Linked DNA regions of Stegostoma tigrinum. The protein of the gene in region 4 purifies or fractionates together with the protein of the main gene of each other region. This does not show direct contact. Links are inferred from orthologs where the notes say so. Each region holds a gene or a part of one and is shown on either strand. Other genes may lie near its edges.

Region 1 (6,934 bases), on a different chromosome or scaffold from region 4:
AAGGTAACATTATTTCAGATGACAAAAAGTTTGGTCAAAGAGGCAGTTAAGTCAACTCTTAAAATATGGCAAGTTAGTGGAGGTATAGGACCAAAGATGAGAAACCAAGAGAGTTAACATAGAAAAGTCAAGCAGATTAGTATGAAGAAGCTTTTCCAAGGCACTGTTGCTGTCAGCAATTTCAAAGCAAATACATAAGAAAAGGAAATATTGTGGGTCCATTCAATCATAGGAAATCAAAAATGACAAGTGAAAGCTCACCCATACAAAGTTAATGAATATATGATGCTGAAACATACAACCTGCTTTACTTGAAATTACAACAAGGAAATATGAATTAATTTTTAACCACATTGCTGTTCTAATTGACAACCAAAGGTCAAATATTTTTATCCTACTAGTACCATGCAAGTACAGAGGAAATAGCACTTCGGCTGTCCAAACTTGTAGATTTAAATTGCACTTTTGAAAACTTAAAATGGTTTCCCACTCCCACCCATTGAAACCAAGTTGAACATACTGTACATGCTTTGCAAGTAAATCTCCAACTTTAAGATTGACAATTTAAGCAAAATAGGTACAGATCAGTCTCCTACAGTGACAACAGCGTCAAATATGATAATGAATTTTATAAAACTAAATGAAAATCAAGTAAATAATAAAGCACTATAGTGAGTTTATAAAATTCTGCTACACTAGTGTAGTGAAACTATGCTGCTTCCAATTACTCAAAACAGCTGGTACACATCAAATGGTTCAACATACCAAATAGAACGAGAAGCAACAAACTAAAAACAATTCATCAATTCTACCATACGCGTATTTGAATATCAGAGACAGTGTCTTGATTGCTCACCATGTACTGAAACCCCCAGTACTTTATTTTGGTTCTTCAGATATACATTTGAATATTAAGAATATAAAAGTTAACAAATTTGATGTTGAAGACTGCTAGACTAAATTTATTTCAAAGAAGCCAAATGTTTCAAATCACTGGATCTTCACAGGTGAACTAACACTAAATCAACACCTTTACTATAAAAAGCAAGCTTAAAATGACCAGAAACAGAAGTCAGAGAAATTAGAGAAATCAGAGAAATCATTGAATTTCAATACCTCAGTAAGAATTAGAAATACATTTCCTGAACTTCAATTCTACTGTGGACTGGATGGGTGAAGGATTTGAATACCTGATTGAAGTGCACGTGAAGAGTTATGAAGGATAATACTTCAGGACATTAAATCGCAAAAAAAACTTTACAGAGCAAGTTAGGAATCTTGGTATCAGTCAAATTGATTGGGAGCTAAATTTATTGATCACAGAGGCCAAATTTGTGAATGGCAAAATCATTTTTGAACTGTTTTAATTTTATCAAAGCTGAATTAACATATTCACCCTTGTGCTATTAGTTTGACAGTGCAAAATAATCTGAATTTCATGCTTGCGAAAGATAAATTTTGATGAGCAAGTAGGGGATTGGGCATTATTTCTAAATAATAAAAGATTTATAGACAAACAAAGTGCAACAGTTTTGTATTGATAGGTACGTGATTAAATTGCCACCAGTGAATAGGAATAAGATTGAAGACTGCGATATGTACATGTGTGAATATGCGAAGTCTAAACTTCAATACTTTCACGGATGAACGAAAGTGGTATCTGAAATTTGATGGCCGATGTTTTTGTTGGTCTCTCAATTCGCTGCTGTGCAGAATCGGATACTTTGATCGGTGACACGGTGATCTCTGGACTCTTAACCTCACTTTTCTGATGAACACCGATGCACCATGATACTTCGATGTGTGACTACAGAAGGGCTCTATACCTTGATGTTTTGATGGGCGAATAGGGACAATCTTTGAACCCAGATAAATGAATAGATAAGTGATTTCTAAAGCTCAGTATTTTGACGAGTCAGTTGGGGGGCAGACGGAAGAGGAGCAAGAGGGATATCGCCAAAACTCGGCGTTATTGATGCGTGGTAGGTGGTGAGCCGGAGTACCTGAAGCTTTATCTTGATGAGCACGGGACATTTTTTTGAACCTTTGTATTTCAATGCGTGAACGTTGGGTAAATTCCATCCCTAATATTTTAATACGTAAACGGAGCTGGTGACGGGAACTGGACATTTTGATGGATGCCGGTGGGAAAGACATTTCTGCATGGTTAAACCAACAAGGATAACCCAGGGATCTAGGTACCTCTGAGGGGTGGAAGAAGCAGGATCTCGACCGGGCTGCTCCGACTCCTGAACTGCGACGATCCCTGCGACCTCTTCTGCCTGGCCGCTTTCCGCACGGATTTCCTGGTGAAACCATCTACTTTTTCCGCCGCTGTCACCACTGCCGCCGCTGCCGACATCTTCTTGAAAACACACTGGCGATCACACCGGCAGAAAAATTAGCGGCAGCGGGCGATGAGCTGCGTGTTTGTGAATTCGATCCAATACAGGATTTAAAGTAACCGTCAGGGAAAAGGATGGGGGATTGAAGAGCGTGGGGGTGAAATTATACTTTTTTTTAAAATGTGAAGTCGATGATACGGTGAATGAAGTTAGTGTTGGCGGCGAGGGCCGGAGCTCTGTCCTCTAGCCCCCTCGAGGCCTGCTCAACAGCGCTGCCGCCACCTCCCCTGCCTCCCCACTCCCCGGGGAGTGGCTGTTAGTCGTTCCCCCCCTCCTCCTCGGAGCCTGAGCTAATACGTTGTCAAACCCCGCAACCTGCCGCTGTCGCCTTCACTCGCCGCCGTTCTCGGTGCGTCCATCAACAGACGGGCCAACAGACGCCTCCCGCAACAACAACAACGACGACGACGACGATGATGACTTTTTTTCCCAATAGGCTAAAATCGTTCAAGGTTGATCGTGGCTTTAAATTTAAAAACACGGACGCGTTTTATTTTAAAAAAGGGACCACCAACTGTCGCCACCTCCCTCGCGCTCTCCAAAACACACCAATTGAGTTGGGACTCAACTAACACTGTTGAGCGGAAATGTCGGGGGTGTTGTTTTTGATTGGCATGCCGCTGACCAATCATAAAGGGAAAAAGACTCGCCTAAAATAAATTGACGGTGACGTTGACGTCATCAGAACAATCAAAGTGTCTCAGGGGCGGACCCAAACGCTAACTACAATGTTCAGTTGACGGAGGCCATATTGCTTCTAGGGCAGGTGATAAGGAAGGCTGACGTGATTGGCTGTTCGCGTGTGATCGGGTTGTGTTGTTGTGGGTATGTGAAGGTATTTGTGTTTTGGGAGGAAACGTATTTCTTCCCTTTCAACTTATAAATATAGTGTTTTGTCAGTATTCCGTCATTTGAATTTTTATTCGCTAAAGTATTTTGCACTATATTTATGAATAGCATCCTTATTGCTATCACTGATTAAGGTTAAATCTTTAAAAATGCACAAATCTGCAACAGTATTTTGTTTACTTATGACATCCCACATTTGTGATTCCTCGTTGGCTATGTCCTGTATCAGATTCATATATTTTACCTTTTCAAAAGATAATATTACGGATGTTTGTGAATTTTGAAAATTAATTTCCAACAGTTAACAAATAGCTGAAAAATGGTTGATGAACACAGGCACGGAATATTTATTTATTATTTACATTTGATAGATAGAGAATTCAAGGTGACTTTTAAAGTGTTTGCCAATTTTAGGTGACCTTTGATAGAGAATTAACTTTATATTTAGAATGTTGAATTTTTAATTCTAAAAGTATAATTAAAGATGCTGTAATAGTGTATAAAGTATTGCTATGAGTAAAAAATGGATTTATTTTAGGAAGCCCACAAAACAAAAATAATAGATTTAGTCCAGGTTCATTTAGAATTAACTGAATGTCTGCATTGATGACCTGCTAGTTCAGATTCATAGTTATAATAGTCATCTGAAAATTATTATTAATTGATGTTACTATTGTGCTGGATAATAACATATAAAATACAAAAGCAGAAAATTCCAGAAATACTCAGGTTGCTCAGCTAGCATCTGTGGAGAAGAACAATTAATATTTCCGGTCAATAATCTTTTAGAATTAATCTGATGAAAAGTTGTTGTCTCCAAGTGTTAAATGTGTTTTCTGTCCACATTTGTTACCTGACCACAGAATTTGAACCATATTCTAGAACATAGAACATTACAGCACAGTACAGGCCCTTCGGCCCTCGATGTTGTGCCAACCTGTCATACCGATCTCAAGCCCATCTAACCTACACTATTCCATGTACATCCATATGCTTATCCAATGATGACTTAAATGTACTTAAAGTTGGCAAATCTACTACTGTTGCAGGCAAAGCGTTCCATTCCCTTACTACTCTCTGAGTAAAGAAACTACCTCTGACATCGGTCCTATATCTTTCACCCCTCAATTTAAAGCTATGCCCCCTCGTGCTCGCCGTCACCATCCTAGGAAAAAGGCTCTCCCTATCCACCCTATCTAACCCTCTGATTATTTTATATGTTTCAATTAAGTCACCTCTCAACCTTGTCTCTAATGAAAACGGCCTCAAGTCCCTCAGCCTTTCCTCGTAAGACCTTCCCTCCATACCAGGCTAGTAAATCTCTTCTGCACCCTTTCCAGAGCTTCTACATCCTTCTTATCATGCGGTGACTAGAACTGTACACAATACTCCAAGTGCGGCCGCACCAGAGTTTTGTACAGCTTCACCATAACCTCTTGGTTCCAGAACTCGATCCCTCTATTAATCAAAGCTAAAACACTGTATGCCTTCTTAACAGCCCAGTCACCCTGGGTGGCAACTTTCAAGGATCTGTGTACATGGACACCGAGATCTCTCTGCTCATCTACACTACTAAGAATCTTACCATTAGCCCTGTACTTTGCCTTCCAGTTACTCCTACCAAAGTGCATCACCTCACACTTGTCTGCATTAAACTCCATTTGCCACCTCTCAGCCCAGCTCTGCAGCTTATCTATGTCTCTCTGCAACCTACAGCATCCTTCATCACTATCCACAACTCCACCGACCTTAGTGTCGTCTGCAAATTTACTAACCCATCCTTCTACGCCCTCATCCAGGTCATTTATAAAAATGACAAACAGCAGTGGACCCAACACCGACCCTTGCAGTACACCACTAGTAACGGGTCTCCAGGATGAACATTTCCCATCAACGACCACCCTCTGTCTTCTTTCAGCAAGCCAATTTCCGATCCAAACTGCTATATCTCCCACAATTCCATTCCTCCGCATTTTGTACAATAGCCTATTGTGGGGAACCTTTATCGAATGCCTTGCAGAAATCCATATACACCACATCAACCAGTTTACTCTCATTTACCTGTTTGGTCACCTTATCAAAGAACTCAATAAGGTTCGTGAGGCACGACCTTCCCTTCACAAAACCGTGCTGACTATCCCTAATCAATTTATTCTTTACTAGATGCTTATAAATCCTATCCCTTATAACTTTTTCCAACACTTTACCAACAACTGAGGTAAGGCTCACTGGTCTGTAATTACCAGGGTTGTCTCTACTCCCCTTCTTGAACAGGGGAACCACATGTGCTATCCTCCAGTCGTCTGGCACTATTCCTGTAGACAATACGGTGGCAATCTTCCTAGTCACAAGCGAGCTGACATCATATGTTCAAATCCCCACCCGGCCAGACAGCACACCCTGGCTGGTATTAAAAACCTAGGTCTGTTTTTTATTTTAGATTTCTTTAAAGTTTCTTTAGTATTTACAATTCTTATGAAATGAAGGAAAAATGTGAAATTAAGCCAAAATACTGAAAACATAAATTAGTAGCATCTGTGAAGAAGAGAGCATGTTTGGGTTTCTACCGTTGATCTTCACACCACAATACAAATTTAAGCACATCAAATGCCTTGATTAGGAATCCAATCTTTTCAAAAAGGAACTAATGGAACCTAAAGAGATTTGGGAATACTTGTGCATGAAACACAGGAAGTTAGCACACAGTTGCAGCAGGAAATCACTAAGGCTAATGGAGTTTGGCCTTTATTTCAAAGGCGTTGGAGTATAAAAGTAGGGATGTCTGGCTGCAACTGTACAAGGTGCTTGTAAGACCACATGTGGATTACTGTGAGCAGTTTTTGTCGCCATATTTTGGGAAAGATATTTCATTGGGGGTAGTTCAGAGAAGGTTCAAAATGATTCCCAGTATGAATCATCTGCCTTATGAGCGAAGGCTAAACTGGTTTGGAATGTATTTACTGCAGTTTAGAAAAATGAGAGGTGATTTCATTGAGATATATTGTATTCTTAAGGGACTTGACTGGGCACATGTTGAGAGGCTGTTTCCCCTTGTTTATTGACATTGTTTACACATGTCCAATTAGCTTGCTTGACCTGTGCTGCACCCAAAATGCAATTTCTGTTACATGAGCACCATATTTCATTGGTCTTTCCAAAAATGTAATCATTTAACTTCCAGAGGTAAATTTTGCCAATACTAAATTGCAAACAAAAGAAAAACTGTTTTAGAGAGTGTATAAAATGTTTAGTTGTAAAAGAAAATGCTATGACGGTCATAAAATTAAAAACTTTCTATTGATAGAATCCTGGAAGAGCCCATCAAGTCTGCACCCAACTCTGAAGAGCCTCACTGTCAACAGCACCAGCCTCTATATTCATAATTTCATATTAATTTGCTTGGATTTTCTACCTCTGGTTTCTCAGTCCTATATCTCCCCAACTCCGCTTGCTTTACTTCCTCAAGGGATGACTTGAAATCTACACTGACCAAGCAGGAAGGGCCACTGGACCCAAAACGTTAACTCTGATTTCTCTCCACAGATGCTGCCAGACCTGTGGAGCTTTTCCAGCAATTTCTGTTTTTATTTCTGACCAAGCTACTTGCTAAATCAGTGTTTGATTGATCAGAGGATTCAGAGTAAATATGTTTCTGCAAAGCTAGGACTCCTAAATCTAAT
Region 2 (7,008 bases), on a different chromosome or scaffold from region 4:
AAGGTGAATGTTGACAGGGACAAAGCACTGGAAAGGCTGGCTATGCTTAGAGTGGATAAGTCACCTGGCCTGTATTGGGTGCACCCCAAGTTGCTGAAACAAGTGGGTTTCAAACTGTCAAACAGGCTTGCCCATTGTAATATCCTGGAATGATTGGAAGACAGAGATACAGAAGGATAAAACTGTGGCAAATATGATAACATTACTCAGGAAAAAAATGCAAGGTTAGCACAAGCAACTACATCCAACTAGTTTTAACATTAGTAGTCTTAGAAACAATAATCAGGGAGCAAGATATTAAACCAAGGCACTTGGACAACCTTGAATTAACTAAGTGCAGTCAACACAGATTTATAAAAAGTAAATCTTGTATTTGACTAAATTTTTTTTCCATGAAATAACACAGAAGGTTCATGAAGGGAATGCAGGGATATTGTATTTTTAGATTTCAAGAAAATATTTGACAAAGTAACACATACAAGGCGAGAAAACGAGAAATATTAGTGACAGGTTTGATAAAACTTAAATATAAGGAAAGGAAAACAGCAAGTCACGGTTAATGAGATAACATGGTGTGAAGTTGGATGAACACAGCTGGCCAAGCAGCTTCAGAGGAGCAGGAAAGCTAATAGGAAAGCATCAGCAGTTCCTACAATCTCCGTACCAAGTCATGGTTAATTATTTATCAGAATGGAAGGTGGTGGGCAGTGGTTTTCCCTAAAGATCAATGCCAGGACAGGTGTTTTTCTTGCTACATAATTTACTATGTATTCTGAGATGCAAGTCATTGAAGAAAATTTGCCAATAATACCAAACTTTGAGGACTTGCAAAGTGGAGATAACATGAATCACCTGCAATGACACAGATAAGCTAGAGGAATAGCCAGGCAAGTGACAGATGGTATTCAGCATAGAAAAGTGAGGTGATGATGTGTTTGCCAGGCAGGAGAGGCAAGTAGAAACTCTCTGGCCAGTCATAAAGCATATGCAAGAAGAGAGGAACTTGTTGGCACAGGTACATTGATCTTTGAAGGTGGCAGGGCATATCGAGACAGTGGTTAGCAAAGCACACGGGATTGTTTTAGACTTACTAAACATAGGTATTGAGTATAAAAACAGAGAAGTCAAAGTCTGGTTTGGCCCAAATTGCGTACTGCATCTAAATCTGGTCACCACATTTTCAGAAGGATGTGAACAATCTTGACAGTGTAAAGGAGATTTAACAAAATAGTGCAAAGGATGGGGGTTTTACATACAATGTTACATTTGAAAGTCGAAGTTGTTCTCTTAAAGTAAAGGAGATTGAGTGAAGAATTAGGTTTTGTGTCACATTGACAGCAGTCACCCCATATGCAGACACAAAAGGTGCAATACCCACCTTTAAAAAAATGACTTAAAATCTTTTGAAATTGAATATTCTTATGATTTAATTGCCTTTTTATTTACTTGTACAGAGTGGTATGTCGTTTGGAAGTTGCTATGAGAGGAATCCCATTGCTACTGTATCCACAATATAATGTGCAATCTTATTTTGCCTAAACCATTACTAACATTAATACATTTAAAAGGAGGTCGACTCTGATCCCAAACAGATAAGATAACGCATAGTGAAAGTATCAACTGCAACCTGATAAGAGATTAATTAGGTGAGATAGTCTGGTTTAACCAGCAGTTGAGAGCTTTTTTCTGCTAACTTATTCTCACTGTTCCCTGATTGGACTAAGTCTTGTTGGACAAAGGATCTACTGGCATAAGGAATCTTTTGGAGGTTTTCAGTACCTCCTGAAGTCTTGAGGCACAGCCCACTTTAGTAATGCTGGGGCTACATGACAGTGCAGCAAGTCAGACAATGAAGGATGAGAATACCAGACACGTTTTTCCATCCCCGGCCCAGAAGTGAACGTCAAGGTCAACTCTGAACTGGCTGTCCCACTTGTGATCAACTTGCTCAGTACAGGCCAGAATTCAATGCAGATATTCTTTAACCATTCTAGTCTAACCAGAGAAAATCCATCCTTGTAACTTATGGTCAACCACATGACCTGTTTTTACATTGACATTCATGCAAATCTTTATGCAACTTCTTTAACAAGTTCAAATAGTTAGGCAAGAATGAATGAAGGGATTAGCTTTTGTTTTGCTAAGAACAATATTCTAATAGTTCTACTGCACTGTCATCCCAGTGACAAGCATACATTTGGGCTGACCAGCCTCAAAGAAAAGCTGAAACACAATCAAATGCTCTAAAACTTGCAAATATGCTAACCTTTTCACCCTTAGTTGATATTATAAACCTCATAACACAATTAACTATTGCACTATAAACAGAAAAGCAGTGATCTGGCTGAGAGATTAAGATCAAAATTCAGTGACAATTACAATGCTATTGAAACTAAACATACAGCAATCCCAGGGATTCATCAGCGACCTACAGGATCTTACCCTTAGCCGTCAGACATTAAGTAGCTTGATACCTTCCCAACAAAGAACAATGTTGTTGCTATTGCGTTTATTTGGCATGTCGTTACTAGAGCTACCAACAAGATCTCACCGTCAGCATAAAACACTCCCTGCAGACAGGATCTAACTGCTGGTTATTTGATCCAAGTACACTCATTTGGATAAAGTCATGGAAGGTTCAACAGACAGCCAACCTGTCATTAATGTGGTCTGCTGTTAACTTTTTGTTGAAGGTACTGGTGACTACAGTGAAAGGTAATGAATAGGCCAGTCTGCATGGATCACCCAGTGTGTCCTACTCCCAGCGCCAGGATCCGTCACTTACAGCCATTCCCAGGTTTCAGGCCTTGCCTAAACCCTGCTTCAGCTACTGAAGGCCGGATCAATACTCAACCCAGAGCCGCAGTTCACTCTGACTGAGCCCCGCCACACTCATCCCTTGCTTTCATTACCGTTGCTATAGTTCCCATTCCCGGGGCCGCTTCCAGTCCTTCGGCCTCGACCAGGATCCGCTCCGCTCCCTGGCCACACCCACAATGTGACTGACACAAACCGGAGCCAATCAGCTTTCGGTCACGCCCGCTTGCCTGGCAGCCGGGAGGCGGGACTTCCGTGGAATTTCCAGTAGCATTTCCAGAGACGGTCAATAGGGGGCAGTCCCCATGGTTGGGTGAGACCAACTAAAACATGTGTTAATGAGGTATGAGACTCGGTCATATTGGGGTAATGAGGTGTGAGATTGGGTCATAGAGGGGTAATGAAGAGTGAATTTGGGTTAAATGGGGAGCAACAAGGTGTGAAATGGTGTTAAATAGGGATACGAGGGAGTGAGTGCGTTATACAGGGGTAATAGGTAGTAATACCAGGGCAAATAGGGGTAAGAGGCAGTAAAACTGGGTAATGAAGTGTGAAATTGGGAGTGTTAGGATGTGAGACTGGATCAAATAGGGGATCGTGGGAGTTGAAATTGGGTCAAATAGGAGCAGTTAGGAATGAGGCTACAGTCCAAAGATGTGCAGGCTAGGTGGAATGACTGCCAAACTTCCCCAAGTGTCTTGGGATGTGCAGGTTAGGTGGATTGACAATGCCAAACTGCCCATAGTGTCTAGGGATGTGCAGGTTAGGTGGGTTTGGGGAATGAGTCTGGGTGGGATGTGCTGAGGTTTCATGTAGACTTGTTGGGCTGACAGGCCTCTTTCCACACTGTAGGAACTCTATGGATTGAAACAGGGGCAGCAGAGGAGTTAGACTGAATCAGACAGAAGCAATAGAGAGGCGTGATACTGGGCCAAAAAGGTGCAGGAATGAGACTAAGTCAAATAGGAAGCAATGGGGAGTGAAACTGGGTCAAATAAGAGCAATAGGGAGGGAGACTGGATCAAATTGGGGGAAATGGGGAGGGAGACTGGGTCAAATAAGAACAATAGGGAGTGAGACTGAAATGTAGATACTTGAAATGTTCAAAGATTGGTAAGTCATTGATTACAGTTAAGAAATATAACAGGGAAGTGAGAATAGAAATTGCAGAGGCTGTAATCTTCCCTAGCTTAGTTGAAGAATTGCAAATGTTGTACACTTATACAAAACAGTGCACAAAGATAAATGCAGCAACCATGGGCCAGTCAGTTTAACCTTTTGTAAAGGAAAACCTTTTAAAAATAACATTTTTGAACCAATTAATGCTCACTTTGTTAAATATGAGTTAATTAAGGTAAGAAAGAAGTTAATTAAAGAAGTTGATATAAAAAAATCATGTTTAACCACCAGATCTGAGTTTTATTATGAAGCAAGAGAGAGGTTTGATGATGGTAATGCTGTTGATATGTTGTACATTGGCTTCCACAACCCGTTTGTTTAAAGGACTAAATAACAGATATTTCCTCTTCAACAATGATCACAAAAACAAAGTTGCTGGAAAACATTCTGCGGAAGGGTGACTGGACCTGAAACATTAACTCTGTTTTTTTCCTTCACGGATGGTGCTAGACCCGCTGAGCTTTTCCAGCAACTTTTGTTTTTGTCCTGATTTACAGCATCTGTAGGTCTTTTGGTTTTTATTTAGACATTTCCCCTTGTTACCCAGTCCAGAATGAAGGTGCCTACATTTAAAATCAGTGGTCGCTCTTTTAGAATGGAGATGAGGAAATTTTTCTCTCTCTCTCAAAAGATTAAGTGACATTGGAATTCTTCCTCAGAGGGCAATGGAGGTGAGGTTATTTAATATTTTTAGGGTAAAGGTGGGAGCACACAAATCAAGTGTATATGGGATTGTGGAATTTGAAACACAATGAAATCAGCCATGAACTTATTGAATGGCAGAGCAGGCTCGAGAGGCTGAGTAGTTTACTTTTTCTCTAATTTCAGATGTTGATGAACAAGGTTAGAGCTCATGGAATAACACGAACAGTAGCAACATAGATATGGAACTGGCTCAGTTTCAGACAAAAAAGGTGTATTAGTAAATAGTTACTTTTTAGACTAGAGGAAAATTTTTACTGGAGTTGCCTAGGATTAGTATTAGTATGACTGCTCTTCCTGATAAATTAAATGACCTATCTGTGGCATATAGGGTAAAATTTCAAAGTTTGTTGATGGGACAAATCTTGGAAGTATTGTCAACGACCAGGAGAATCATGTAAAATGTCAAAGGGATGTATGCAGGTCGGTGGAATGGGCAGATGAAATTTAATGCAGAGAAGTATGAACTGATTCATTTGGTAGGAAGAATGTGGAAAGTCATTGTAAAACAAGGGAACAATTTAAAAGAGCTGCAGGATCAGAGGCAGTGAGTGTATGTGTGCATGAATTGAAAGTGGTAGGACAGCAGTTTAAAAAAAGCACACACTTGCTTCAGAGATAGTAGGAACTGCCAACTCTGGACAATCTGAGATAACAAGGTGTAGAGCTGGATGAATACAGCAGGCCAAGCAGTGTCAGAGGAACAGGAAAGCTGACATTTCGGGTCTGGACCCTTCTTTGGAAACTTCTTCAGAAACGTCTTCGAGAAGAGTCCGAAGACCCCTCACTTTTCTGAAGAAGGGTCCAGACCCGAAACGTCAGCCTCCCTGTTCCTCTGATGCTGCCTGGCCTGCTGTGTTCATCCAGCTTTACACCTTGTTATCACACACTTGCTTCAGCTGCTTCATGATTAAATTATAAAGGAGCTTGGTTAGATCATACCTGGAGTATTATGTCCATTCTCATCTCCTTAACTCAGGAATGATACTGTTGCACAGAGCAAGTGCAACAAAGGTTGGCTGGACTTGTTCCTGAAATGGCAGAACTGTACTATAGACTGGGCAACTGGGCCGGTATTCTCGAGAGTTTTGATAAATGAGAGACGATCTCATTGAAACTTACAATATTCTTAAGATAGATGGTGAGCCTAGAACCATGGGGCACATTTAAAAGAAGAGAATGTCATGGGAATTTTAGAGGGCAAGGGAGATTGGAGACCACCAGAGTCACAGAACTAAAGGCAAAGGGAGTGTAAATGGCTGAGAAAGGATGTTGTATCCAGCATTGGGGGGGGAAGGGAAATAAATTTATACTTTATTGGAATAATTGCAGGTGCCATATCTCCAGTTCTTTACTTACATAAGCATGCCTACTGTTTATGATCATGCATTTCGAATTGTTAAACCCTGAAGTCAGCATGACATCAACCTTTGAAGTATAAAAAAATTTTTGATGTGCTTGAATTACATTCTCCCCAAGGTTGGTCATCAGCTTCCCAACCAGGTGCCCCCATTCCCCGTGTCAGAAGTGTAATTCCCAAAACTAAATGTAATATCCAAAGTATATGAACGATCAACTATAGATTTGTAACAGTATTTTCGTAGGTGTGGTGTATCAGCAGCAGCTGATAGGTAGCATATGTATGTTGGATTGCAATTGAAGGAAGGGCACTGATGAATCTTCCACCAACTGCTCTCATGTGAGTTAGAGAGAAATTGCTTGGATAGATTTAGCTGGAATGAATATATGTTTATGTTTCCCTGTGTGTTTTAACCACAAGTGTTCCTGATGTGACATGCACCAACTCACATTCCTTCCAGTTTAGTAATCACGTACTGTCAGTAAGCTGAAGGGATTCACTTTGAAAGTGCTTTTCGTGTAAAGATAAAACTAGATTTTTAAAACTTGGTGCCAGGGCTTAAATATCAAAGTCCTCTTACTAGTAAAAAGAAGTTGTTTGAGATATTATTTCCTTTCCAAGAAGGACAGCTGACACCAAAACGTAGGACTCGTTTAATAAAAATCTAGATGCTGAGGGGAAAATTTGACTTGACATTTTGGAAGGACAAGGTTAGAAGGATCAAGCAATCTTTTTCACCTGATTATATTCATATAATTCAATTTCTTCACATCTTTCCTTTTGTATTAACTTAAGAAATTGGAGCAGGAATGAGCCATTTATCCCTTCAAACCTGCTCCACCATTCAATAATATTGTGACTTATCTTATGCCTCAGCTCTACCTTGCCACACATTTCCTTAATTTCCTTGAAAGCCCAGTGTCTTACATTATGTACAGCTGCTGGACAGC
Region 3 (7,790 bases), on a different chromosome or scaffold from region 4:
ATTTGTCTGAACTTCGGCAAAAACAATCCCAACTTAGTCAATCTTTCCTCATATGTCAGTCCCACCATCCCCAGAATCAGCCTGGTAGGCCTTCATTGCAACCCGAAGAGCATCCTTTCTCAGAAAAGGAGACCAAAACTGCACACAATATTCTAGGTGTGGCCTCACCAAGTGAATCAAATTGCGTGAAGACTGACATCTGCCATGTTGGGAATTACTGAAGGAGGCCAAGATGGATCACCTATTCAGCTTTTCTGGCTGAAGACTGGTACAATTGCTTCAGCATCATCTTTTGCCCTGATGCGCGAGGCTCTATCATTATTGAAGATGGAGATACTTGTGCAGCCTCCTCCTTGAGCCAATTTTTTAAATTGTCCACCACCATTCATGACCGAGTGTGGTAGGATTACAGAGCTTAGCTCAGTTGTAGAATCGCTTAGCTCTGTCTGTCATTTGCTGCTTGTGTTGTTTGGCACATAAGTAGTTCTGTTTTATAGCTTCACCAGGTTAACACCTCATTTGAAGGCATACCCCCCTGCATTCTTAATTGCAGTAGTTCAGGCGCTAACACTGTATGTATCTTTCAAGATAGTTTGGAGACAAAGTGAGTTGCAGCCAGGACAATGAGAAGGAGTAGGTGCTAGCTTGCCAGAAGGTGTGGTTTATAGTAGATTTTGCTTCAAAGGGCTTAAATGAGGACTTCAGTTGGGTAGCCTACAGAATACTGAAGGGTATACACACTATGCTTGATGCATTAGAAAGCTTACCTTCAATATCAAAGAGTCCAGCACCACCATCGCACAGAGTATTGTGCAGGCTTGAAGCTTCTCCTTTCCAACATAGACATGTGACCAATTCTGTTCACACAACTGTGGGTCCATATTATGCAGTATTGTTTAGCCGATGACATAGCTTCCCTTGTAGCACAAGGAGCACCTGCCCAATGTGTGTGTGTTGCACTAGAAGGTCACATGGCTGTCGTGCAAGCTCAAATTGTTGCTGCCATGACTGGGAATTGTGGTGTAACAAATGATTTGGTGAGCATCTCAGCAGTCCGGTGATCTATTTTCTGACAGGCTATTACTATTGCTGAGGCACTACTGGTCATGAACAATGCCACGAATGAACATCCCTTGTCATCTAGGTGCCACCCAAGCAGCCAATGTAGTAAACATGTTGAGACACCCAAGACTACTTCAGAGTGTTACACAAGTGGAAGCCATCCCATAAATTAACATGCCCCTACCTTTGTTATCATCCATCTTAGAACAATTACAGGTTTTTGACTACGGGAGAAATTTTCTAGTCGGTATCCCCAATTATGATGTCAGATGCTCATAGATAAATCTACTTTCACTATCGAAATCTACTTTCCACTGTGCAGCTGCCTCGACTGTGTAACACCTTAATGTGTACATTGCTAACAGATATGGTGCCTATGTTCCACAGTTAAATCTTATTACAATGGGACAAAAGGGCTAATTACCCTTTTAATGACCTTAATTGGCAACCCACTGCGACAGGACAAGTAGCCACTGATGCTGGAAGTCTGTCTTTGGAAAAATTCACAGTGGTGGGAAGCTACCAGCAAGCCAAACCAATGTGTCATGATTTAGATTTCCACAACTCCATCTCTGCTTCAAGGAGCTGGCCAGAGGCCAATCAGGAGGAACATACACAGCCATGACAAGTGGGCAGGAATGAAAACACAACTGGGTTTCTCTCACTCCATCCTCCTTGCTAACATATCTAACTCTTCAGACATAAGAGATGACAATGTGTAGAGCTGGATGAACACAGCAGGCCAAATGCATTTCTGAAGAAGAGTCTAGGCTCGAAACATCAGCCTTCCTGCTCCTTATGATGCTGCTGGCCTGCTGTGTTCATCCAGCTCTACGCCTCGTTATCTCAGATTCTCCAGCATCTGCAGTTCCTGCTATGTCTTCAGACAGTTGGATTACAAATGGCTGATTAAATCAATTCCCACAGAAAAAGGTATTCCAATAATATTCACAGCATTTTGTATGATTTAATATAATTGTAAAATGGTGACTTCCTTACACAGTGATGACATGCACGTGGCAAAATGACCGAGATGTGTGTTGGACTGCCGTCCTGGCACCTTCATTCTGAAATATGCTCCTGGTCCTGCATTCAAGCCCAACTCCTTGTATCCAAGAAGATTTCGCCCGGGAGGAGTAAACAAGTCGTGCAAGTGTGGCTGGGGTGGCCATGGGAGGCATAGAGAGGTGATGTTAACACGGAAGGGTGGTCTGATGAGGGGGTGTGGACGCAAGAAGGTTGAGTGGGAAGTGGCTCTGCAGATTGGGTGTTGCATATGAGCACAGGACAATGGAGTGGGGAGACATGATACTGGGAGATGTGAGATATGAGATAACAAGGTGTACAGCTGGGTGTACACAGCAGGCCAGGCAGCAGGAAAGCTGATGTTTCTTTCAGGCCTAGACCCTTCTTCAGAAATGGGGGGAGGGGAAGGAAGGGAGTTCTGAAATAAATAGGGAGGGGGGAGGTGGATAGAAGATAGAAGGAGAAGATAGGTGGAGAAGAGACAGACGGGGATGGAGCCAGTAAAGGTGAGTGTAGGTGGGGAGGTAGGGAGAGGATAGGTCAGTCCGGGGTGGACGGACAGGTCAAGGGGTCGGGATGAGGTTAGTAGATAGGAGATGAGGGTGGGGCTTGAGGTGGGAGGAAGGGATGGGTGGGAGGAAGGACAGGTTAGGGAGGCGGGCATGAGCTGGGCTGGTTTTGGGATGCATTGGGGGGAGGGGAGATTTTGAAGCTTGTGAAGTCTACATTGATACCATTGGGCTGCAGGGTTCCCAGGCGAAATATGAGATGCTGTTCCTGCAACCTTCGGGTGGCATCATTGTGGCAATGCAGGAGGCCCATGATGGACATGTCGTCTGAGGAATGGGAACGGGAGTTAAAATGGTTCGCGACCAGGAGGTGCAGTTGTTTAGTGCAAGCCAAACGTAGATGTTCAGCAAAGTGTTCCCCAAGTCTCTGCTTGGGTTCCCCAATGTAGAGGTGGCCACAACGGGAACAGCAGATACAATATACCACATTAACACATGTGCTGGTGAACTTGGGCATGGCGGGGGGTTGGGGTCTCTCAGGGAGGGGTGCTCTCGAGGTGGGTGTTGTCGGGAGGGGGCTCTTTGGGACGGCGTTATGAGTAGGGTACTCTCAGGGAGGGTACTATCAGGTTGGGAGGGTCTCAGGGAGGGGATGTTGCGGGTAGGGGGCTCTCGGTGGGAGGGTATTGCAGTGAGGGGGCTCTTGGGGAGGGAGGTGCTGTAGGGAGGGGCGGCTCGTAGGGTGGGGTGTGTTCTGGGGAGGGGGCTCTCAGGGAGGGGATATTGCTGGAAGCGGGCTCTTGAGAAGTGAGTGTTGCGCAGAGGGGCCTCTTAGGGAGGGGGGGTTGTTGCGAAGAGGGGGAGTCTCTTGGGAAGAGGGAGTGTTGCACGGAGGGGGCTCTCAGGGAGGGTGCTCCCAGGTATGGGCTCTGAGGGGTAGGGTCGTTGTGGATTGTGGGGTCTTGGGGTGGGGCGGTATGGCCGGGAGGCTTGGGCAGGAGTATTTTAAGAAGATGGGGGCTCGCAGGAAGGTGGGTGTTGTGGGAAGGGTCGCTCTCAGGAAGGGAGTGTCGCGGGGAGGTGGGTTGTTGCCGGGAGAGGGGTGTCTCAGTGAGTGGAGGGGCTGTTGCAGGGAGAGGGCTATCGGGTTGAGAGGAGGGTGTTACAGGGAAGGGGCTGGTGCGTGGGGAGGGGGCTGTTGTTGTGAAAGTGCTCTTGGTTTGGGGGGGTCTCTTGGGGAGAGGTGGTCTTGTGGGGAGCAGCGTCTCTCGTGGGGGAGGAGGCTGGCAGGAAGGGGTTTAACTCGGGTGGGAAGAGGTTGATCTCGAGGGGGTGGGGGCTCTCAGAGAGGCGGGTGTCTCCCGGAGGAGGGGGCAGTTGGGGGGATGATTGGTTGTGGGGAGGGGGCTTTCGAGGAGCGAGGTCACTTGGGGGTGGTACTGTCAGGGGGGGTGTCTCGGGAAGGAGGCTATTGGGGAGGGGGGTCCTCGGGGAGGGTGTACTCTCGGGGAGGGGGAGGCACTGTCAGGGAGGGGCGTCTGTAGGGTGGAAGGGGTCTCTTGGGGAGGGAGGGTGTCTATTGGTGTGGGGAGTAGGCTGGCAGGGAGGGGGTTCTCTCAGGGGGAGTAGCTGTCGGTGAGGGGGTTCTCTCAGGAGAGGGAGGGGGTGTCTGTCAGGGAAATGGCTATTGGGGAGGGGGTTGTCTTGGGGTGGCAGAGGGGATCTCAGGGAGGGGGATCTCAGGGAGGGGGTTTCTCTCGGGGGGTGGTCTTGGGAAGGGGGTTTCTCTCGGGGAGGGGGTTTTCTCAGGGGGTCCCTCGGCGAGGGGGGATCTCTCGGGGAAGCGGGTCTCTCATTGAGGTGGTGTTTTCTCAGGGGTCTCTCGGGGAGGGGGGTCTTCTCAGGGATGGGGGTCCCTCGGGAACGGGGGGTCTCGGGGAGGAGTGTCTCTCAGGGAGGGGGGTTCTCAGGGAGGTGTGTTTTCTCGGGGATGGGGGTTCTCTCGGGGAGGGAGGGTTTTCACGGAGAGGGGGTCTCTCGGGGAGGGAGGGTTTTCTCGGGGAGGGGGGTTCTCTCGGGGAGGAAGGGTTTTCACGGAGACGGGGGCGGTGGTTGTCGGCGGGCGCCGAGTGGGCCTGTCCACTAGGCCGCGCTGTTGGGTTTTGACATTTCCCGGTTTTCCCACATCCATGAGCCGGTGAGACGGGAGACGGAAGGCGGGTGGGAGGGAAGCGGGTTCGCCGCTGGGTTTCTGACCCTCCCCCGCCCCCCCCCCGATGGCGGAGACGAAGATAATTTACCACATGGATGAGGAGGAGACGCCGTACCTGGTGAAGGTGCCGGTTCCACCGGACAGGGTCACTCTCGGTCATTTCAAGCAGGTTCTCAACAACAGGCCGAGCTGCAACTTCAAATTCTTCTTCAAGTCCATGGACCTGGACTTCGGGTGAGTGACCGGTCGGGTCATGGTCAGTCTCAGGCGGGTTGGGTGTCCGGTGGGACCCGGGGGGGTCTCCGGCCGTTGGGTGAAACGGGGCAGATGTGTGTCAGTGCACGAAGGTGGAGTACCCACTGGGCTGTTGTGAGGGAGGTTCCCGCTGCTTGGTATTTGCCCCCCTCGTGTGTTTCGGGCGTAATCTGTTTCTTACTTAACACCCCCATTCCCCCCGGACCCGTCCTCCCTTCCGCCTCCTTTTTCTAAATAACGCCACTTGCAAGTATTTTAAAACCCCATTCATTCGATTTGGGTCTGGGTCTCATGAACCATATTGCTGCTGCATTTGTTTACATAACATTGGCTCTGCTAAAATTATGTTACCACGGAGGAGGCCGTTTGGCCCTCTGCTTTAAGCACTGATATTTAGCTGAGGCAGCCCAGAACTTCTAACTCAGTGTTCCCCCCTTGTCCTTCAGTGCCTTCCTTCAAATATCCATTCAGTTCTGCTACAGAAAATGCAATGGTTAATCTCTTAAACACTTCCTCTGTCAAAGCATTCCACACTCTCAACAGCGCAAAGAAATTTCTCTAGACTTCCTTCCTTAGCCTAATACTTTTAAGTTAATAGCCCCTCAGCACTAATTTAGGTTTTTCAGCATCAGAGACCTTCTTCCATCTTAATTTTAATCAAAGCCTTTATATTTAAAAGTCACAATTAAATATGCTCATGGTCTTTCCAAGAACACAATGTAGCACAAGAACAGGCCCTTCAGCCCACCAAGCCTATGCCGATTCACAATCCTTAGCTGGAATTATTGCCTACACATGGTTTCTATCCCTGTTTGCTTCCCATTCACGTATCCATCAAGATACACATTAAACATTGTTAATGGATAGTAGGAACTGCCGATGCTGGAGAATCTGACGTGACAAGGTGTACAGCTAGATGAACACAGCAGGCCTAGCAGCATCAGAGGAGCGGGAAAGCTGATGTTTCAGGTCCGGAACCCTCATTGTTAACATGCCTGCTTCCACCACTTCCAATGGCAGTGCATTCCAGGCACTTACCACTCTGTGTGAAAAGGTTTCTTCCCACTTTTCCCCTGGAACCTGTGCCCTCATGTAGTTGACCTTTCCACCCTGGGAAAATTCCTCTGACTGTCCACCCTATTTATGCCCCTCATAATTTTGTGGCGCTCATCTCTCAATCTCCGTCTTTCCAGTGAAAACAATTTGAGTTTATCCGATCTTTCGGCGTAACTAAAATCCTCCTGATCCGGCAACATTCTTGGTAAACGCTCTCTGCACCCTCTCCAAAGCATCTGTCTTTTTGGTAGTGTGGTGACCAGAACTACATGCGATATTCCTTTTGTGGCCTAACTAAAGTTTTGTACAGCTGTAATTATAAACTTCTCAGCTTGTGTATTCAATGCCTTGGCTGATAAAGGCAAGATTGCTGTCTGTCTTTTTCCCCACATTATCTACCTGTGTTGCTACTTCAGGGATCCGTAGATCTGTATGCCCAGATCCCTCTGTTAGCACTGTTATGGGTTCTGCTGCTTATTGTATAATTCACACCTGAATTGATTTTCCAAAATGCATTACCTCACATTTGTCCAGATTACCATCTGCTGTTTCTCTGCCCAAATCTGCAATCTATCTACATCTCACTGTATCCCTTGACAATCCTCATTATCTGCAATTCCACCAATTTTGATAACACCTGCAAGCTTACTTATCAAACTATTTTTCCTCCAAATTATTTATATATATTATAAACAACTAAGGTGCTGGCACTGATCCTCTAGAACATCACTAGTTACTGGCCACCATTCCAAAAAGTACCCTTCCACTGCTATTCTCTGACTTCTATCTCCTAAGCCAGTTTTGTATTATTCTAAGATAACAAAGTGTGGGGCTGGATGAACACAGCAGGCCAAGCAGCATCTTAGGAGCACAAAAGCTGACGTTCCGGGCCTAGACCCTTAATCAGAAAAAGGGTCGAGGCCCGAAACGACAGCTTTTGTGCTCCTAAGATGCTGCTTGGCCTGCTGTGTTCATCCAGCCCCACACTTTGTTATCTTGGATTCTCCAGCATCTGCAGTTCCCATTATCTCTTTTTGTATTTGTATTATTCTAGTCAGCTTACACCAGATCTCATGAGGCTTTACCTTTTGTACCAACCTGCCATGAAGTGGCTTACCATGTAGACAATATCTATTGCCATTCTGTCATCAATCATTAAGTGGAAACAATGTTAGTATCTGTCGTCTCACTTCATAATTATAATCTTCCATTTCTGACATTATTCTGTTTAAATTAATGACCTGCATTTATAAAGCATATATCCTGACTTCAGGGTCCTGAAGAGCTCTAAAATCAATTAAGTACTTTGCAGTCAATGTAGTATTAAGAGGAGGCAATGGCCTTAGTGGTATTATCACTGGACTGTTAAACCAGAGAGCCAGGTAATGTTCTGAGGACCTCGGTTCGAATCCTGCCGCGGCAGATGGTGGAATTTGAATTCAATAAATATCTGGAATTAAGAATCTAATGGTGACCACAAAACCACTGTCAATTCATCTGGAAAAGCCCATCTGATTCACTAACGTCCTTTAGGGAAGGAAACTGCCATCTTTACCCGTGTCTGAAGTGGCATGTAGTCCAGAACAAAGCAATGTGGTTGACTCTTAACGCTCCCTGGGCAATACATGCTGACTTAGCCAACAATACCCTCATTCCCATGAATTGACTAA
Region 4 (7,519 bases):
CATGGACACCAGCTGAACACATTCCTGCTCAGTGGACTTTGCCATCTAGAACCAGGCAACCACCCACAACCATCCAGGCACCCCTCTGATACACTGATAGTGCTCTTTGGAAGCACAGACTTGCATTGCAAGATGCACCAGATACTGGCCCTGAAAGGTGCAGGAGGGACATTTTGAGCACAGGGCTAGGCCCCTTACTGGCAGTCTGGACCAGGCTGCATTGTAGGAATGCTTGCTGTCTCTCTTAGTGATCACTTACTGCCTACTGCCATGCAAGTAGCATCCATGCCTTGCCTTGCCATGCCAATTCATGCAGTCACCCAACAAGCAGGTTGCCTTGCTGTTAATGCAGTCCTCAGCCCAGGGGGAGCCACATCCTGCTGTGTGGCAGTGTGCCACATCAATCTCATAGCTGCACCATGTGCCTGCAGCTTAGCTGGCAAACTGATTGAGTGTGCAACGAGCAGACAGACATGAATCCAACTCTGAGAGGAGCAGTGCTCACAAGAGGCATTTGTTAGGCTGGCCCAGTACACTGAGTCAAACGCAGCCTCCCATTCAAGTCCAGGAGGTTGACCATGGCCAGGAGTCTGATCAGGGGCTGGGGGCCGTTCTCGGGGAGTGGACACAGTCAGTAATGCCAGGTTCAGTCAGTAGATCTAAAACGGTCGGGGAGATTTACAGGCCCCAGTCAGGGATCTGGGCACATCTTCTGTGTGGCTGTTGGATAATGTGGGTTGAGGGGGGAGGCTTGTGGCCAGTTATTTGTATTCCATTCATAGAATGTAAGGGGGAGGCGGGACAAGTGTGGGTGTAGCCATGGCAACGAGCCTCGGCAACAGATTCATTGGGACTAAGGGCTGCAAACTCTTGTCAAGGGTCTACTAACAATAGTGAAAGTGGGGGGAAGTGCTGGGTGGTGGCAGATGAATTTGCAAGGGGTGGAGGAGACAGTATAGTATTGCTGGGAAGGGGGTTATGCGGAGGGACAGGGTGGTTGGGTTTGTCCATGGACAGGAGCACTCTGGCTTTAAGGGAATCACACCTGGCATGGTCACTATATGCCAGGGGCTGGGTGGGTAGGTTAGGCAGTTGTAGCTGCATTTAGGTGGGTTGGTTTGGGCTTTGGGAAAGTGTGGAGCTAGTAGGATTCTCTATTGGGAAGGAACTGTGGATGTTTGGGATGACACAGTAGGCCTGAAGCTTGTGGCTATGGAATGAAAGAGCAAAGGAGAAATATGGCACAGGAACAGGCTCTTCGGCCCTCCAAGCATGTGCCGGTTATCATGCCCTAACTAAATTTTAAAAAACTTTTGCCCTTATTTGGTCCATATCCCACTGTTCCCTGTTCATGTAACCATCCAGATGCTGCTTAAATGTTGCCAATGTGCCCGCTTCTACTACCTCCTCTGGCAGTGCATTCCAGGCTCCGACCACACTCTGCATGAAAAACTTCACTCACGCATCTCCCTTAAACTTTCCCCTTCTCATCTTGAACCTGTGCCCCCTTGTAATTGCAACTTCAACCCTGGAAAAAAGCCTCCACCCTATCTTTACCTCTCATTATTTTGTAGGCTTCTATCAAATCTCCTCTCAGCTGCCGTCTTTCTTGCGAATTCTTCTATTCCATGCACAGGCCAATGAAGGCAAGCATGCCATATGACTTCTTAATCAATTTGGCCACTTATGGGCATCTTTTTTGGGAACTGTGGACTTACATGCCCAGATCCATCTGTATGTTAACGTTCCTAGGTGTTCTGCCATTTACAGTATAATTCACACCTAAATTTGATCCTCCAAAATGCATCAACTCGCATTTGTTTGGATTAAACTCCATCTGCCTTTTTTGTGCCCAACTTGCCAATCTATCTATACCCTGTTGTATCCTTTTACAATCGTTGGCACTATCAGAAACTCCAGCAATCTTCATGTCATCTATAAATGATTTGACCTGCAAGGGAGGGGTCAGAGGCAATCAGTGATCAAATGGTTTATAAAGGGGTATACATTGGCCTCGAAAGGTAAAGCAGACAAGTTGCTTCCAGCCAGGCTAGCTGACAGCATTGAGCCTCTCTGTACATTACACCACCCTCACACAGCCACTGGTGGGCAACTCATTGAGCTGTACACCTTTGCACACAGAGGGCTTCCCTCACTTCCAGATGCATTGGGCTCTCAGTACAGACCTCTCTCCAGGAGCCTCATCTGTGGCCATGAGTCATTGCTGGTGTGAAGGTGCATTACACAGATGGATTCGCAAACACATGGAAGGATGTTAATAATATCTGAAAGTTTCATGGACAATGTACTATTTACAGAAAAGCTGTCTTCACTGGGGCAGCCAAAGTGCCCTCAGGATATTTTCTTCCTGCTCTCTGTCTCACTGTAACTCAGTGCGCTCCCTGACTCAGCAGTGGAGCCCATTGTCCCTAGAATTTTGGTGCAGCAAACTTCACAATGCTTCAGCCCGGATGGCCAGGCACGCGATAGAATTCTTCCCAGAGGCAAGGTGACCCTCCTCGGCTTATACCTCCAAGGGTTGGAGGGACAGGCTGTCTGGAGAGAGAGAGCCCCTTCAGGGCCCTGAGTGTTATCTGCCTCAAGGCCAGAATACAGGTCCACCACCATCTGGGTGCTCCTTGGCCACCGGTCTATCCCCTTGTGAAGACGGGAACCTGGACTGGGGTAAAACCCCACACAAACAACAGCCCCCTCCCCTGCTCGCCCAGGATCACGTTCCTGTTTACTGACACCACAGGGACGTCTCCTGCTGAAAGCTGAGCAAGTGCCAAGTCTCAGGCCCACTGCTGAGTGCCAGATGCAGAGCTGTTGTGGCTAGGTGCTTACCAGACAGTGAAGCCACACACTGTGTGCCTATAGTTCCCGCCAGGGGATTGGTATCTGAGATGCTGAGGTCTTCAGGATGCTTCCTCTGAGGCCTCCATACTCCCATCCCCAGAGATTTAGGAGGGTGATTCTTCCACTACCAGCCATTGGGAGGTTTGCAGAGCCTGTAAGACAAAAGGAAGAAAAGACCAATGGTTGGAAGAGGTGTGCAATGACTGAGAGTGACAGTGTGCCATTGAGACAGTGCCATGCCATGTCATTCCTACTTCATTTGTTGGGACATGACTGTGTTGCATCCCTGCAGGAGGCAGTCCTGGTTGTCTCCTGTGAGGGTCAGGATTTTCCTCCCATACAGATTGGGACATGATATCAGGCACTGTCCCCCCGCCTGTGGAATAGGCTCTACCTGCCCCGTTGTGGGCAGCTTTCCCGTGTAATGCAAGGAGAAAGGTGGGAAGTGGTGGGGCAAATAAGTGAGGTAACAATGGGTATCCCAGCTAATAGTGCAGGCAAAAGGTGTGCTCTGAAAGAATGAGGAGGCAGTGTGGACGGTGAGTGGGCAAAGCTGGTAAAGGAATGTGTTGCAGGCAGCGGCGAGTGTGGTGGGGTATGAACCTTGGCAAAAGGAGCCTGCAGTGGGACTGATAGATCGTGTGTGAGGTGGCAGAGTGTGGAGGCGTGATGCAAAGAAGGTCATTGACCTTCTTTCTACATTCCTGGCCATTCCTCCTCACCCTGGAGCGGGCACTGGCATGGGTGGTGACCTCAGACCAAGTTGGCAGTGTTTGATGGTGCTCCTTCCTTTAGCGATCCTCTGGGAAGAGGGCACTTCTTGCTTCACCATCCTATTCACCAGGACTTTGAGGTCCTTATTGGACAATCAAGGCGCCAACTTCCCCTTCCCTGCCATGTTCCGACTCTGTCTGTCACTGGGCAGGGCTGCTTTGGAATGTCAAAACTGCCTTTTACAGATGGCAAGGAAGCAAAAGGTACTAGCCTCCACTGGGTGGTGAGTTTCCTGGGAATGGTGCATGGTAAGATGGGCAGAAATTAGAAAGCGATGCCTCAGGGGTTGGGCGGTCAATTAATGAGGCAGGTTTGGTAAGCTAGGATGAAAACCCATTAAAGGGTTAAAAAACCAGTTAAAGTAAACTCATGGCTGAAAAACCACGAAAAAAAAACTTGATGCAACTCAGACTTGGCCAAAAAAAATGTACAATAAATCTGGGATAAAAAGTTGATCTCAGTAATGATGGTCATGGAACTACCAGACTGTCATGAAAACCCATCTAGTTCATTAGTACCCTTCAAGGAAGGAAGTCACTGATCCTTTCCCGTTCTGGCCTACTCCAGGAAGGCAGAAATTCTTAACATCTCTCTAAGACAGTGTAAAAGCCACTCGATTGTATCATAACTGCTGCAGGAATTAAGTCACAAAGGATGTACCTACACCTCACAGACCACAGGGCTTTAAGCAATGGCTCATCATCACATTCTCATCGCCAGTTAGGGACGGACAATAAATACCAATGATTCCCAAAATCTGACAGTGAATAAAAAACACCGCACAGTTGGAGCCGCCACTATATAAAGGTGCGTTAACTATTATTTGACCACCTCCCCAACAGAAGCCCTGATCTCCCTACAACCCCTTTCCTGTTTCTTGCTAAATTTGCATCATTTATTTCCTGTAAGTATGTTCTTCCATCCTGAGCATTTACAAAGATTCCTGAAGAGAAAATGGACCAGTTTTGGCTCAATCCACCCCTCTGGTACCAACCACAATGATCTTGGGACCGATGCTTCCTTCACTTGTTCCACTCTATCAGAAGGACATTAAATTCTTTCAAATTAATTTTGTCGTATTTTCTCTGAGTATCTGCAAGCATTATGGGTCAGATCTGTGATAAACCTTGGCCAACACAGACCATCATCTTTGAACAACAAACAGTGTCGAGACTTTTCCATTGGAGAGAAATCTACTTGGGAATAATTTCCTCAAAAACAATTTCCTCTTTTACTGTTTGAATCAAAAGGCGTTGTGGCAAGATTAAACCATTGTGTCATCAACTTCAATGAAGCATAAAATTTTCCGCTTAAAATTAAAACAAGGCCAAAAGAAACCTGGACATTGCTGAGCTGGAAGTGAGTGTTATAAAACAAAGGTTCATTCATGCGCATTTAATGTGTATATTAATGCTTTAATTCTAAGATTCAAACTAGCTAGTCAAGTAAACTTACTAATAGTGGCAAGTTATTCTGTACTATTTTGGATTCAGACCCCATATGAAGTGAATTATTAAATTCAAAGCGTAATATTGTATGTGCCTGCAGAATTGAAATCAAGGATCACATTTCTACCCACCACTTGTTCACCAGGGAACAGATACCTGTTTTAAAATATCGCAGGGTTTACATACAGGAGCTCTCCAATTCTTGTGAATTTTCCCCATTGCCTAGTAAAAAGTTAGTGGAAGGCTGACAGCATTCAAGACAAAATCACAGAATAATCATATCATAGAATGGTTACAGCACTGAAGGAGACCACGTGGCCAATGCAGGGATATTAGGATGTGGTTTCATGCTGTTCAGAATCCAGATTTCAACAAAGAAGCCTTGGCAAAATTAGAAAGGATTTAATGGAATAAAAGGAGCTGGAGACTGATTCCTAGTGCCAGAAATCTGAGGTAACTGGAGAATAGAATGTGGCTTTAATTTTAATGTCTCCCACATACCCCATTCTCCTTGGGCGTAGGAGAGTTTGGGGAGTTGAAAGTCAACCTTTTCTAAAATGGATTTATCAGTAGTGGCAGGGGTAATGTTATAGGGGAGGTGGCTATTGTGTTTTGTCTGATGATCAGTAAGTCAGCATAACTCCGAAACAGATATTCATAGATCTATATTGTCAATTTGATAATTATGCAAACAGGTTAAGAAAAACTTGCAAGATTAATATTTTAAACTTCAATGTAACTTTGGAGGTTTGACACCTCTTCCTGATCGAGTGATTGTTACCCTGTCTGGAGAGGTGCAAATTGCTATCTGTTCAACTTGTTTGACATCTTGATTACCTTGCTGCCAGTTGCCATCACTCAACATCACCAGACAATGACCAATTGGAGTGTTTTTCCTTATTCCTTTTGTGCCTGACTGGTATGTTGTATGGAGCTGGCTTATGTTCTGTCGCAGCGTAGCACCATGATCAGTGATGACTTCATGTGATTTGGGCTGGTGGCACATTTTACAAGCCATTGCTAGCAGGTCTTCGTATTTCTATCTCACATCTTCCGCCCGGTGTGCACCTTTGGTAGTTCTCTACCTGTGTACTCGTGGTGTATCTTTTCCATTCTCCTCTGTCTTTGTCTCACATCTTGGAATGGTTAGAAAATTGGTTGTTGGGCAAAGTTGTTCATATTTTTCTTTCAAGCATAAATTGTGCTGGGGATGGCAATCTCTATCAGTGTTAATATGAAAACGCATCAGCACAATGTGAAAATTTTGATTTGAATGTTAACAATTTATCAGCATTGATTTGGTAGTATATACTAACACTTTGCTAGGCCACTTGAGCATGGATAATGGGGTGGTGATGTGATGTGGGTCACTCCCCACTTTGTGCATGTTTTGAAATGGTTTACCAGTGAGCTGTGGTCAATTGTCAGATTCTGTCTAGTCCATGATGCTGAATAAACTGAAAATAAAACTCATCCTGTAGATCAAGAGGAACATCTTGGTCTTTGTGTGTGTTTGATAACCTGCTGAGCCCATCAGATGTAATCATCCTGGTACCCGGCTTCTTTTTCACTTTGAAGAGATTCCCTTGCACATTGACATCTAGAAACTGTGACCACAGCAGTGCATGCATTAATGGTTCGTGGCAGATCATTTCTAGTGGCTCATGATCTGTTTCAAAGGTGAACTTCCTGCCGAATAACTAGGTATGAAATTGCATTATGTAGAATAGCAGAGCTAATTTCTCACACTCAAATTGGAATCGTTGGCTTGGGCAGGCAACAGGTGCTTAGACGTTTTTGCAAAGCATCCACTTCAAAAATCATGTATTTTTTGGGGTCATACTACTACAGAGGCAAGATTTTAGTGACAGAACTATCTTAAGAAAATCAAAGATGTATTTGTGGTCATTTTAACATTCATAGGGAATGTCCTTCCTGACCTAATCTTTCAGCACAGGCACATTGTCTGAGATGTTGGAAACAAACTGCATCAGGAAGTTCAAAATATTCAGGGTAACATTGCAGGTCCTCTTTATCCTGTAGGGTCAATATTTATTTAAAATCCTTGACATTGTCTAGATCAAGATGGACTCCATGGTGCAGTAAATGCAGCCAAAGATGTTTATCAGCTGATATTGATCTGGAATTTTGTGTTGTTAAATATGTGACATGTTTGTCATGTTACTGCCTTTAGTAGATAAAGCTGTGGTCCTGCTCTGCCTTTGTCTTGCCTACGATTATGATGTCATTAGCATTGCAAACACAATGTCGTACATTTTAATAATCCTTTCTATCCACATGCTGCTGGACCAGGTCTTAGCGAACTAATACACCAAATGGTAATTGGCAGAAAGAGTACCATCCACATAGTGTGTTAAATGTCGTGAGCTGTTGGGATTCTCCTGCTAAATGGACAGAGAAGTATCCAACTGACTTTC

Evidence for each region.
Region 1: the proteins of axin1 (region 4) and ppp2r5a purify together in Homo sapiens (affinity purification with western blotting; 3 studies listed by BioGRID and IntAct, with this or other methods). This does not show direct contact. The link is inferred for Stegostoma tigrinum from reciprocal best matches to the Homo sapiens genes AXIN1 and PPP2R5A.
Region 2: the proteins of axin1 (region 4) and amer1 purify together in Homo sapiens (affinity purification with mass spectrometry; 4 studies listed by BioGRID and IntAct, with this or other methods). This does not show direct contact. The link is inferred for Stegostoma tigrinum from reciprocal best matches to the Homo sapiens genes AXIN1 and AMER1.
Region 3: the proteins of axin1 (region 4) and segment polarity protein dishevelled homolog DVL-1-like purify together in Homo sapiens (affinity purification with western blotting; 3 studies listed by BioGRID). This does not show direct contact. The link is inferred for Stegostoma tigrinum from reciprocal best matches to the Homo sapiens genes AXIN1 and DVL1.

The regions. Positions count from the first base shown.
Region 1 is NC_081362.1:54,688,789-54,695,722, reverse strand, and holds the start of ppp2r5a (serine/threonine-protein phosphatase 2A 56 kDa regulatory subunit alpha isoform), read right to left. Parts: upstream 3,021-6,934; 5' UTR 2,363-3,020; coding exon 2,203-2,362; exon of another isoform or gene 1,760-2,202; intron 1-1,759. UniProt on the Homo sapiens protein: The B regulatory subunit might modulate substrate selectivity and catalytic activity, and might also direct the localization of the catalytic enzyme to a particular subcellular compartment.
Region 2 is NC_081368.1:33,312,824-33,319,831, forward strand, and holds the start of amer1 (APC membrane recruitment protein 1), read right to left. Parts: upstream 3,008-7,008; 5' UTR 2,913-3,007; intron 1-2,912. UniProt on the Homo sapiens protein: Regulator of the canonical Wnt signaling pathway.
Region 3 is NC_081381.1:27,493,827-27,501,616, reverse strand, and holds the start of segment polarity protein dishevelled homolog DVL-1-like, read left to right. Parts: upstream 1-4,776; 5' UTR 4,777-4,873; coding exon 4,874-5,043; intron 5,044-7,790. UniProt on the Homo sapiens protein: Participates in Wnt signaling by binding to the cytoplasmic C-terminus of frizzled family members and transducing the Wnt signal to down-stream effectors. Plays a role both in canonical and non-canonical Wnt signaling.
Region 4 is NC_081376.1:42,034,851-42,042,369, reverse strand, and holds the start of axin1 (axin-1), read right to left. Parts: upstream 3,009-7,519; 5' UTR 2,848-3,008; intron 1-2,847. UniProt on the Homo sapiens protein: Component of the beta-catenin destruction complex required for regulating CTNNB1 levels through phosphorylation and ubiquitination, and modulating Wnt-signaling.